Macaca mulatta: one gene and its partners. The main gene of each other region encodes a partner of the protein of the gene in region 2 in a complex. Links are inferred from orthologs where the notes say so. Each region holds a gene or a part of one and is shown on either strand. Other genes may lie near its edges.

Evidence for each region.
Region 1: the proteins of LMNA (region 2) and ZMPSTE24 are in contact, whole or in part, in a crystal structure (PDB 2YPT), measured with the Homo sapiens proteins. The link is inferred for Macaca mulatta from reciprocal best matches to the Homo sapiens genes LMNA and ZMPSTE24. Residues at the interface, in NP_001393912.1 of Homo sapiens: Cys661, Ser662, Ile663, Met664; in NP_005848.2 of Homo sapiens: Ser264, Asn265, Ala266, Tyr267, Phe268, Val332, His335, His339, Glu415, Leu438, Asn439, Asn442, His459, Arg465.
Region 3: the proteins of LMNA (region 2) and BANF1 are in contact, whole or in part, in a crystal structure (PDB 6GHD), measured with the Homo sapiens proteins. The link is inferred for Macaca mulatta from reciprocal best matches to the Homo sapiens genes LMNA and BANF1. Residues at the interface, in NP_001393912.1 of Homo sapiens: Ser431, Gln432, His433, Ala434, Arg435, Met540, Lys542; in NP_001137457.1 of Homo sapiens: Val11, Ala12, Glu13, Pro14, Glu83, Asp86, Ala87, Phe88.

Annotation. Positions count from the first base shown.
Region 1 is NC_133406.1:200,487,267-200,490,909, reverse strand, and holds part of ZMPSTE24 (CAAX prenyl protease 1 homolog), read left to right. Parts: intron 1-688; coding exon 689-873; intron 874-3,643. UniProt on the Homo sapiens protein: Transmembrane metalloprotease whose catalytic activity is critical for processing lamin A/LMNA on the inner nuclear membrane and clearing clogged translocons on the endoplasmic reticulum.
Region 2 is NC_133406.1:110,815,689-110,820,040, reverse strand, and holds the start of LMNA (lamin), read left to right. Parts: upstream 1-1,486; 5' UTR 1,487-1,697; coding exon 1,698-2,053; intron 2,054-4,352.
Region 3 is NC_133419.1:8,414,540-8,418,145, reverse strand, and holds BANF1 (barrier-to-autointegration factor), read left to right. Parts: upstream 1-1,321; 5' UTR 1,322-1,327; coding exon of another isoform or gene 1,328-1,353; 5' UTR 1,354-1,410; exon of another isoform or gene 1,411-1,836; intron 1,837-2,072; coding exon of another isoform or gene 2,073-2,088; coding exon 2,089-2,211; intron 2,212-2,463; coding exon 2,464-2,610; 3' UTR 2,611-2,976; downstream 2,977-3,606. UniProt on the Homo sapiens protein: Non-specific DNA-binding protein that plays key roles in mitotic nuclear reassembly, chromatin organization, DNA damage response, gene expression and intrinsic immunity against foreign DNA.

The DNA of each region.
Region 1 (3,643 bases), about 90 Mb from region 2:
TCCTGACTATAAGTGATCCGCCTGCCTCAGCCTCCCAAAGTGCTGGGATTACAGGTATGAGCCACAGTATCCGGCTGAATTTGCTTTTTGTCTAATATCATTTCCCTTATCTAAAATAAATATAAAATAAACAGCAAGTAATAAATCATTAGCAAAAAACAAAACGAGAAATGTGCATTAAAATGACATATAACATAACCATATTTAAGAATGTATTCCAATATCAAACAGCAAATTTCAACAATGCAAAAATCGCAATTACGTTTGCACCCATCTAATACATGTACACTTTTTCTTGACAATAATGGAACCTTATATATATGAAGTTTTGTATGCTTCACAATATATTGGTGAGCTTTTTCTTGTTAAAATTCTTTGGAAGTATAATTTTTTTCTGGCTGCTTAAAATTCTATTTTATAGTTTTACTATAATTGAATCATTCCATAACTGTTGGATGTTTAGGCTTTACTTATTTACTTATTGCTATAAAGCTGTGATGAGCACATTTATTGGCAAAAAACCAGACACTCTCCACTTCTGGTGGTGAATTATATTGATATGGTTTTTCTTCTATTAAACGATTTTAAAATGTTAATGTCCTTTCCAGTAATTAAATTTCTAGGAGTCTCTCCAAAGGACCCCAAACTTTTTAATTATATTCCATGCTTTGAACTGTCTTTTCCTTAGGATCTAAACGCTCTTCCCACAGCAATGCTTATTTTTATGGCTTCTTCAAGAACAAGCGAATAGTTTTGTTTGACACTCTACTAGAAGAGTACTCTGTACTAAACAAAGACATCCAGGAGGATTCTGGCATGGAACCCCGCAATGAGGAAGAAAGGAACAGTGAAGAAATAAAAGCTAAAGTTAAAGTGAGTTCTTTTTTCCTAAGAGACTCTACCTTAGTTTTTATACACAGTTCCTGTGACAACTCAAAATAACATCAATTTCTATGCAGTGAGTGTTGAATTCAGGGAGACTATCAAATAAAAAACCATGGCTCCTTTATAGTTCTGGTATTTAGGAGAGTTTACCACTATTATTACATGCTAACTACCTTGCAAGCTTTTATAGAATGTAGAGATTAAAATTGGAAGCTCTGTAAGAAAATTCATATGATTATAAGCTGTCTTTAAAACAGTAACTTGTGTGTGTGTGTGTGTGTGTGTGTGTATAAAATTTCTGATGTGTTTATGATCAAAGAATTCCCACAAGCAAGATAAAAAGATAAACATCTAATTTTTAGCTTTATTAAGACAGTAATTATAGGCTTTGGCAATGGAGAGACTTGGATTTGAATCCTGGTTCTGTCATTTAGTAGCTTTGTATCCTTGGATACATTATGTAATTTAGTCTGTTTTATTTGTTTAACACACATTTATGAAATGTATACTCTGTGCTGAGATACTTTGCTTGGCACTAGGTACACAAAAATCAAAAGGAATACCTTCTTCTTAAGCTTACAGTCCAAAGGGGAGCTAGTCATGCAATCACAGTACAATACGTTAATTGCTACTGTCAAGCTTTAGACTCTAGATATAGTGGGAGCACAAGAAAAGACATTTCTCGAATCTGACCTGAGAGTCTGAGAAAGCTGCTTCTGAATCCTTTTCCTGGATAAGACTGACTGATATTGATTAGCAGAATTTAAAATATCAAGACTAAATGGGGGAGAGGGGACAATGATAAGAAACAATACAAACTGTCAGAAACGGTCATCAGTATTTGTATGTGTGATGGAATGTGCCATTGCCTTTGGTGTCATACAGAGATGATTTTAGATCCCTGTTCACTCACCATCTGTGTAACTCTGTGCAAGTAAGTTAAGCTTTCATTTATCTATGTATTTATTTATTTTGAGATGAGGTCTCATTATGTTTCCCAGGCTTGTCGAACTCCTGGCCTCAAGTTACCCGCCTGCCTCGGCCTCCCAAAGTGCTGGGATTATAGGTGTGTGCCACTGCACCCGGCCAAGCTTTCTAAATCTTTGATTTCTTAACTGAAAGATGAGGCCAATAGGGTTTCTCAAGCTCCACACTATTTTTTGGGGACAGATAATGTTTTTGTTGTGGGAGGCATCTTGCGCATCATAGGATGTTTAGCAGCATCCCTGGTCTCTCGCCACTAGGGGCCATTTCCCCCCCACAACCTCCAAAAATTGTGACAATGTCTCAGAATATTGCCAGATGTCCCCTAAAGGTTCAGGTGGGGTCAGGTCTCCCCTGGTTGAGAAATACAAGGCTAAAGATGCCTACATTTTAGGATTTTGAAGATTAAATCAAATAATATGTGTGAAATACCTTGTACTGTCTATCAAAATGTAGAGAGTACCAGAAAATGATTAGCATCTGAGCATCTGTTTTGACCCTAAAAACAGGTTCTAGTAAAGTACCTAGCCTATTATAAATATGTAGAGGAAATAAAATTCTGTGAAGGGATTAGAAGACATATTAAGGTCATCTTATAGATAGGAAAACTGAAGTCCAGAAAGAATAACCCAGTGATAGCACTAGAGAATCATGCAAGTTTAGAAAGTTAATCTGCTTATGGTCGGGCGCTGTGGCTCATACCTGTAATCCCAGCACTTTGGAAGGCCAAAACAGGTGGACCACTTGATGTCAGGAGTTAGAGACCAGCCTAGCCCACATGGTGAAACCCCATCTCCACTAAAAATACAAAAATTAGCCGGGCATCGCGTGCCTGTAGTCCCAGCTACTCCAGAGGCTGAGGTGGGAGAATCGCTTGAACCCAGGAGGCAGAGGCTGCAGTGAGCTGAGATTGTGCCACTGCACTCCAGCCTGGGTGACAGAGTGAGACTCTGTCTCAAAAAAAAGAAAGTTAACCTGCTTAAGAGGCATCTTAAGCATTGTCTAAACCTGGTAATGTTAAGTAATGTCTAAACCTAGACATTAGCTAATGGTGCACTGATTACAAGCAAAGTACAGAGATAACAGACGTTTAATGTCTATGAGAATAGTTTTCTTTGGCTACAAAAACAATTGAGTGGTCCTTTGAAGTATGTTGAATGGGATTTGACTTATTTTGCTGGCTGCTTTAGAGGCCCGCAGCTGGGTGTGGTGGCTCACACCTGTAATCCCAGCACTTTGGGAGGCTGGGGTTAGAGGATTGCTGGAGGCCAGGAGTTTGAGACCAGCCTGAGCAACATGGTGAGACTTCATCTTCTCAAAAAATAAAAAAATAGCTGGGCGTGGTGATGCCCACCTGTAGTTCTAGCCACTCGGGAGGCTGAGATGGGAGAATCACTGGAGTTCAGGAGGTTAAGGCTGCGGTGAGCTGTGTTTGCTCCACTGCACTTCAATCTGGGCAACAGAGCGAGACCATGTCTTCAAAACAAACAAAAAGAGCCTGCTTTGCTTCATTGGTTAACTACAAATATTTTACTGTCTAAATACATATTACATGACAAGATACAACAGACATAGTTTTACCCTAAAGAACCTACAGTAGAGGAGACAAATAGCCTAGAGTTTAAGGCAGGGCATGGTAAATGTCATGAGTAGCAGCTGATATAGTGTGGCTTTCAGAAATGGAGATATTGATGCAGATTCTAATGGTCAGCAAGTTTCTTAGAAGTGAGGCTATTTGAAGTAGGTAGAAGTTTGACTTGGGGCTGGGGTTTTT
Region 2 (4,352 bases):
CAGCTACTCAGGAGGCTGAGGCAGGAGAATCTCTTGAACCCTGGAGGTGGAGGTTGCAATGAGCTGAGATCATGCCACTGCATTCCAGCCTGGGTGAGAGAGCAAGACTTCATCTCAAAAAAAAAAAAAAAAAAAAATAGAGGATGAGGTGGCTGATGGGACCAGAATAGGGGCCAGGATGAGGGGAGGGGAGTGGAAGGCTTATCAAAAGGGTCCTTGGTGAGGCCTGAGGATGGAGGCTCCAGAGCCTGAGCTAGCGAACCCTGGGGACCTGGGTGATCTCGTTTTGTGAGACAGCCTGGCCCCTCCCCAGAGCCAGCTGCAAAATGGACCTGGCCAGAGAGGAAAGTAGAGATGAATGTGGTGCTGGCCTTTGCAGCCAGCAAGGCTGTGGGGTCTTTGCTGTTCCTGCCCCCCACTACCTTCTTGCCCCCTACTACCTTCTTTCTGGCTGAAACCAGGATAGAGACCCAACGTTGGCTGTCCAGCCCCCAGCCCTGCTCCCCCTTTCAGGCCCCTCTGGGAACCACAGAAATCTGGGACCTAGTGTCCTGGCAACGTAATGAATGCACACACAGCTCTGGTATCTGTTTTAAATTATCCATTAAAATAAGTACAGTTCTGGGGGAAAAAAATTAAGTTGACTGGGTGGGGTAAGCAGTAGAAAGGGACTGAAGGGGGAAGGAACCCAAGCAGTGCTTGGGTCCAAAGGAAGGGGACAGGAGATGGAAGGGGGAAGTGCCTGGCTCCTATTCTTGGCCTTCTTTAGGGGACTGTGGCTTGTTGCTTGGGTCTAAAAACGAATACTTGGTTTTGAAGGGAGATATATTGGGGCAAAAGAAAGCAAAAAAGGGACCCCCAAACTCCTTGATCCCTGGCCCCAAATTGGGGGCATAAAGGAACTCAGGTTCCAGAACTTTGTTCCCCCCAGGGAACCCAGGCATTCCTTCTCCACCCCACTCCTGGCACACTGAGATGCAGCTCTGAATGGGCTGCCCACGTGTGGAGGGGGGGTTGGGGTGACTCACTATTACTACTGGGAGGACAGGGGGAGCCAGTGGTGGAAGAAGGGTGAGTCACACTGATGGGCACCAGCCTCAGCCCTCCCCCCACTTTCCTGGCTCCCAGCCCTGCCTGCCTGACCCTCTCCCTTGCTTTGCACCCACTTCCCTCTCTTTCTCCCCCACCCTTTTGCCCACCCACTCTCCCTCCTTGGCTCTGCCCTCTAGCCCAGAAGGTCTGAGGCAATGGGGGCAAGCTTGGAGCCGGCAGTACTGAGCAGCCAAGAGAGGGGAAGCTTAAGCCTCACGCAGTTAGGGGTGCGCTGGAGAGGGTGGGGCTCGACTCCGCCACACCCCAACGGTCTTTCCCCCTCCTCACCACTCCTGCCCCCACCCCCATGGATCTGGGACTGCCCCTTTAAGAGCAGTGGCCACTCCTCCCTTCAGACGAGGACCTATTAGAGCCTTTGCCCCGGCGTCGGTGACTCAGTGTTCGCGGGAGCGCAGCACCTACACCAGCCAACCCAGATCCCGAGGTCCAACAGCGCCCGGCCCAGATCCCCACGCCTGCCAGTAGCAAGCCGAGAGCCAGCCGGCCGGCGCACTCCGACTCCGAGCAGTCTCCGTCCTTCTGCCCGAGCCCCGAGCCCTTTCCGGGACCCCTGCCCCGCGGGCAGCGCTGCCAACCTGCCGGCCATGGAGACCCCGTCCCAGCGGCGCGCCACCCGCAGCGGGGCGCAGGCCAGTTCCACTCCGCTGTCGCCCACCCGCATCACCCGGCTGCAGGAGAAGGAGGACCTGCAGGAGCTCAATGATCGCTTGGCGGTCTACATCGACCGTGTTCGCTCGCTGGAAACGGAGAACGCAGGGCTGCGCCTTCGCATCACCGAGTCTGAAGAGGTGGTCAGCCGCGAGGTGTCCGGCATCAAGGCCGCCTACGAGGCCGAGCTCGGGGATGCCCGCAAGACCCTCGACTCAGTGGCCAAGGAGCGTGCCCGCCTGCAGCTGGAGCTGAGCAAAGTGCGTGAGGAGTTTAAGGAGCTGAAAGCGCGGTGAGTTCGCCCAGGTGGCTGCGTGCCTGGCGGGGAGTGGAGAGGGCGGCTGGCCGGCGCCCCTGGCCGACTGCAGGAAGGGAGTGAGAGGGCCTGGAGGCCGATAACTTTGCCATAGTCTCCTCCCTTCCCGGAACTGCCCCCAGCGAGTGACTGGCAGTGTCAAGGGGAATTGTCAAGACAGGACAGAGAGGGAAGAGGTGGTCTCTGGGAGAGGGTGGGGGGGATATAAGGAATGGTGGGGGTATCAGGGACAAGTTAGGGCTGGGGCCTGCCCGAATTCGGTCAGATTGGGATTTGCCAGCTATTTGGAGCCTGCGGGAGGGGCTTAAGCAAAACAGAACTAGCCCTGCCAGCTCGAAGAACTCTGGGCACCCAGGACACATATGAGTAGCAGAAAGGGTCCTGTTAGAACTTTGTTGGCGGGCTTGGCACTGGTGCCAGCTTTGCCCAAGCTGGCTCTGAACACATGATGCCCACTAAGACATGACTCCCAAGCTGGCATCTGTCCAGCGTGTTGGAGAGAGGTGAGGAAGGCAGGGCAATCCCCCTTTTCCCTCCCGAGGGCTTGGCGGTGGCCCCCTCGGCATGACCTTGTCCGGGGTTCTAAGGGTTGGGAAGCTGTCCCTCACTCTGCCACTCTGCGTGTCTGGGACCTTCCTTGGGCTCTGACAGGCCCACCAAAAGAGCTCCCGGAGATGGGAGATCGGGAGATTGGCTCCCCCGCAGCTCCCACAGCCCTTGGCCTGCTTGGCCCAGGAATGCAAGGGAGGGAGGGAGGCAGAGGGCAGAGGCTCCCAGCTCAGGAAGTTGTGTTATGCCCAGGTCTGGCCGCACTCCTCCCTTGGCCCACTGCCTAGTGTCTTCGAGGGTTGGGGGCACTGTCCTTCCCTCCTTGGAGTGAGCCACTTCCATTTTCCCAGCCAGGCCAGGCAGTCTTTGCTCAGGCCCATCCTCTTAGCTGCTGACGTTTTGATCTTTGTCTTATTAAAGTGCTGGAATACAGTGACATTTTTGAAATCCAGCCGTTGGAAGCTTCAGGCCACTCCTACTTTACCCACCCCTGCCCCACCCTACCCCACCCTGCTCAACTCCACCTTCTTCTTTCCTAAAAAAGCCTTGGGAGCTTGGAAGTATAGGCCTTCCTCTTCCAGTCCCCCCAAAATTTGGTTCCCTTCTTCCTGCCTTCCCTTTCTCTATGCAGACCCAGGCTAAGAGCACTAACAGGGCTTGGAGAGCCATAAAGGGCTGTTGGCTTTGACTTCTTCTCTCCCTTTTATCAACTACTCCAAACTTCTGCTCTTCCCAAAACCCTTTGCTAGGTGTGGTGGGTGTGGCAGATCCATCGCCCTTTTTTTTTTTTGAAAATGGAGTTTCGCTTTTGTTGCCCAGGCTAGAGTGCAATGGCACAATCTCGGCTCACCGCAACCTCTGCCTCCCAGGTTCAAGCGATTCTCCTGCCTCAGCCTCCCAAGTAGCTGAGATTACAGGCATGTGCCACCATGCCGGGCTAATTTTGTATTTTTAGTAGAGAAGGGGTTTCTTCATGTTGGTCATGCTAGTCTTGAACTCCCAACCTCAGGTGATCCACCTACCTTGGCCTCCCAAAGTCCTAGGATTACAGGCGCGAGCCACCACGCCGGGCCCATAGCCCTTCTTTCTGAAGAGTCAGTGGAAGTTGTGTGTAGGAAAACAGGCTCAACCTTTTTTTCTTTCTTTCTTTTTTTTTTTTTTTGAGACAGGGTCTCACTCTGTTACCCAGACTGGAATGAAGTGGTGCGATCTTGGCTCACCGCAACCACCACCTCCCAGGCTCAAGAGATTCTCCTGCCTCAGCCTCCCGAGTAGCTGGGATTACAGGCGTGAGCCACCACACCCAGCTAATTTTTTTTTTTTTTTTTTTTTTTTTTGTATTTTTAGTAGAGACAGGGTTTCACCATGTTGACTAGACTGGTCTCAAACTCCTGCCTTCAAATGATCCACCCACCTCAGCCTCCCAGAGTGCTGGGATTACAGGCGTGAGCCACCATGCCCGGCCATCAACCTTTATTTTGTTTTTTTGAGACGGAGTCTCGCTTTGTTGTCCAGGCTGGAGTACAGTAGTGTGATCTCGGCTCACTGCAACCTCTGCCTCCTGGGTTCAAGCCATGCTTCTGCCTCAGCCTCCCAAGTAGCTGGGACAACAGGTGCCTGCCACCACACCCAGCTAAATTTTGTATTTTTAGTAGAGACGGTGTTTCACCAGGTTGGCCAGGGTGGTCTCAAACTCCTAACCTCAAGTCATCTGCCTACCTCCGCC
Region 3 (3,606 bases), on a different chromosome or scaffold from region 2:
GACAACAGTGCATGTCATGTAAAAGTAACTCCGGCAGGGAGCTGTGGCTCACGCCTGTAATCCCAGCACTTTGGGAGGCCGAGGCGGGCGAATCACGAGGTCAAGAGATCCAGACCATCCTAACACGGTGAAACCTCGTCTCCACTAAAAATACAAAAACTTAGCCGGGCGTGGTGGCGGGCGCCAGCTACTTGGGAGGCTGAGGCAGGAGAATGGCGTGAACCCGGGAGGCGGAGCTTAGAGTGAGCCGAGATCGTGCCACTGCACTCCAGCCTGGGCAACAGAGAGAGACTCGGTCTCAAAAAAAAAAAAAAAAAAAAAAAGTAACTTCTACAATCTTAGGTACTGGTGTAATGTAAAACTATAGGAAAGTTCCAGATAAATCATCCTGGCAACCTCTCTGGAAGGAGTTTGAAATAAACCGTATCTTTCTCAACACGCTTGTACACCCCAAGTCTGGCACAGTCACACAACAGAGAAGTTCAGTCTGGCAACACACTACAGCCGGAGACAAATTAGGTGGCCACCGTGATGGTCCAAGCCAGGAACTAGTTAATTAAAGGTTGAGGTGAGCAGGCTTGTCTGCGACATCTGCATTTTTCTGACTTGCGTACTTAGAAGACGAGGACCAGCACCCTTAAGACTGATGGTTTCCGAAGGAAACACTGTCATCTCTAGTTGCCGTTCTCCTTCCTCCTCCCTGTCTATCCCGGAGAAAAGACCCTCAGAGAAACACCCACACTCAGTCTCTGGCCCTGGGCTCCCAGGAACGCTGCCGGAGCAACCCCGCTGTCCAGGCTGGACGCTGAGAGAGGATCGTCCACGACTCACTTCAAGGCTGAGCCAAGAAAACACAGTAAAGGAACTTGCCGGCGGCCGCGACGGTAGCGTCACCTCGAAATCAGGTCTCCAGCGTTCCCAGTTCCCACCAGTCCCACTGCGAGGAGTGCGACGTGAGTCTGAGTCGGATCCCTCCGAAAACCGTCTTCCGGCGCTGTCTCAGAGGCCTCCCGGCCACCCGTCCCCTCCCTTGTCCGTCTTCTAACTCTTCCCTACGCCAGGTCGGTCAAGCCTAAGTCCTTGAGTTCCGGGTCCGGGCAGCACAGAAAGGAAGTTCTCTCCCTGTAGGCCTCTCTCCCTCAGAACTGCTCGAGGAGCGAGACCTCAGAAGACAGGGCTTCCCGCGAAGAACCGGAAAGGAGCGCCTACTAAGGACGCCGTCGAGGTCCGTGGCGCCTCAACTCTATAGCTCTAACTGGCTAGAAGGGCCCAACGTGGAAGGTTTTTTTTTTTTTTAAAAGGCGGCTGAGGCGACCCGGAAGCGGAAATGGAAGAAAGTTCTAGTGGCTTGACGTATCCGCGGGAGCAGCAGGGTGGCGGGAGGAACCGTTACGGGAACTGAAGCTGCCGGTGAGCGCGAGCCGCGGAGCAGGGCCCTGGCTGGAGGCCAGAGGGATTGCGGGGAGAAGGGGAGGAGAGGGGCCGCAGGCGCTGTGGCGGGCCCTGGGGGAGAGTTTGGCCGCGCTGCGGGGAGGGGGCGGGGTGCGGCGCGTGGAAGCCGGGCCGCGGGAGGGGGCGGGCCGCGGCTGCGCGCGATGGGGGCGGAGCTGGGGTGCGGCGTGTGCCCCGTGGACGCGTAGCGGGTGTGCGCAGCGCTCGGTGTGCGCTTCGCCCTGTAGGTAGAGACTCTGGTTAGCTTTCCACGCCAAGTGGCTGTTCCAGGCAGTCAGTACCTTCTTGGCTCAGCCAAGGTCACAGAGGGAGTGACAGCTTCCGGGCAGCCCTGGCTACTGACTCTGGGAATCTTCCCACTGCCCCGCTTGCGCCACCTGTTAGGCAAGATTGTTTTTCTTCTGGGGCAAGATCAAAATCCAGGTCCTGCAGGAAGAAACTCCTTTTCAGAATAGTAGGGAAGAGTCTCCCTGGATCTCGGTTTTCTCCTTTCAGGATGAGGGGGATAGAGCAAGCCACCGGAATCCCTGGCTTGGCTGCCTCTTACTGTGAGATTGCTAGTGGGCTCTTAGGAGTTCCAGGTCTTCAGCCCTAATCTGCCTTTCTTTTGGGATTCCTAGATTAAGCCTGATCAAGATGACAACCTCCCAAAAGCACCGAGACTTCGTGGCAGAGCCCATGGGGGAGAAGCCAGTGGGGAGCCTGGCTGGGATTGGTGAAGTCCTGGGCAAGAAGCTGGAGGAGAGGGGCTTTGACAAGGTGTGGGGTGGCCGCCTGTACCTGGTGCAGGCGGGGGTGGGAGGGAAGTGAGTCCATCTGCTAGGGGGTGGACAGTGGGGTATAATCTGAAGAGGCTGCCAGAGCCTGGGCACCTGGTGGAGAGGAGATGGGGGCAAAACCCACGCTGCTTCTTGGGCTTGTGTACTCTGAATGGCACAGGAATGGCCGCCTTGCTCTTATCCCTCACTGAACACTGAGCAGCACACCCCTTCCTTTTTCCCTGTTTTGCAGGCCTATGTTGTCCTTGGCCAGTTTCTGGTGCTAAAGAAAGATGAAGACCTCTTCCGGGAATGGCTGAAGGACACGTGTGGCGCCAACGCCAAGCAGTCCCGGGACTGCTTCGGATGCCTTCGAGAGTGGTGTGACGCCTTCTTGTGATGCTCTCTGGGAAGCTCTCAATCCCCAGCCCTCATCCAGAGTTTGCAGCCGAGTAGGGACTCCTCCCCTGCCCTCTACGAAGGAAAAGATTGCTATTGTCGTACTCACCTCCGATGTACTCCAGGGTCTTTTGGGAGTTTTCTCCCCTAACCATTTCAACTTTTTTGGATTCTCGCTCTTGCATGCCTCCCCCGCCCTTTTTCCCTTGCCAGTTCCCTGGTGACAGTTACCAGCTTTCCTGAATGGATTCCTGGCCCCGTCCCTCACCCCCCACCCTCACTTTCAGTCCGTTTGATACCATTTGGCTCCTTTTTGGGCAGAACAGTCACTGTCCTTGTAAAGTTTTTTAGATCAATAAAGTCAGTGGCTTTCATGACTGGGCTTTGTGCACTGAAAAACAAGTGGGCTGGGAGTTGCCTCTTCTCCAGGGACGGACCATGTCTCCCTCACTCCTTATCAGTAGAGACCGAAACTGGCAGCTTCCCTTCCACTCCCAGAGGGCAGTCATGCTAGCCATGTAGGCCTCAGGCAGGTGACTTGTGTCTCAATCCCCGAGTGATGTGGGAGAGGGTGTGGGTGGATCTTTTCCTGGGAGCCAGATGGACGGTGCTCCAGATGTTAGTTAAGTCAACAGCTGGGCTAGGCAACACCTGGTGGAAAAGTCAGTGGGAGTCAGAGGTACCAGACAGGGTGGGCCAGATGTGGGTGAGAGTTCACCTGCCAGTCAGCATATCATCTGCTCTCCTGGCCTCGGCAAGGGTGAGCAGGGCGCTTGCCATCTTCCATGATCTCTTAGGTAGGAGAAGGAGCACAGGCATCACAGCTGGAAGGATGTGAGGGGAGTACACCTCAGTACATTTTAGTCCTATTCTTTTTGTTTACTTTTTAACTTAATAGAGACGGCCCTTCTGTGTTGCCCAGGCTGGCCTTAAGCGATCCTTAAGCCTCTCAAAGCGCTATGACTATAGGTGTGAGCCACCATACGTGTCCAGCCCT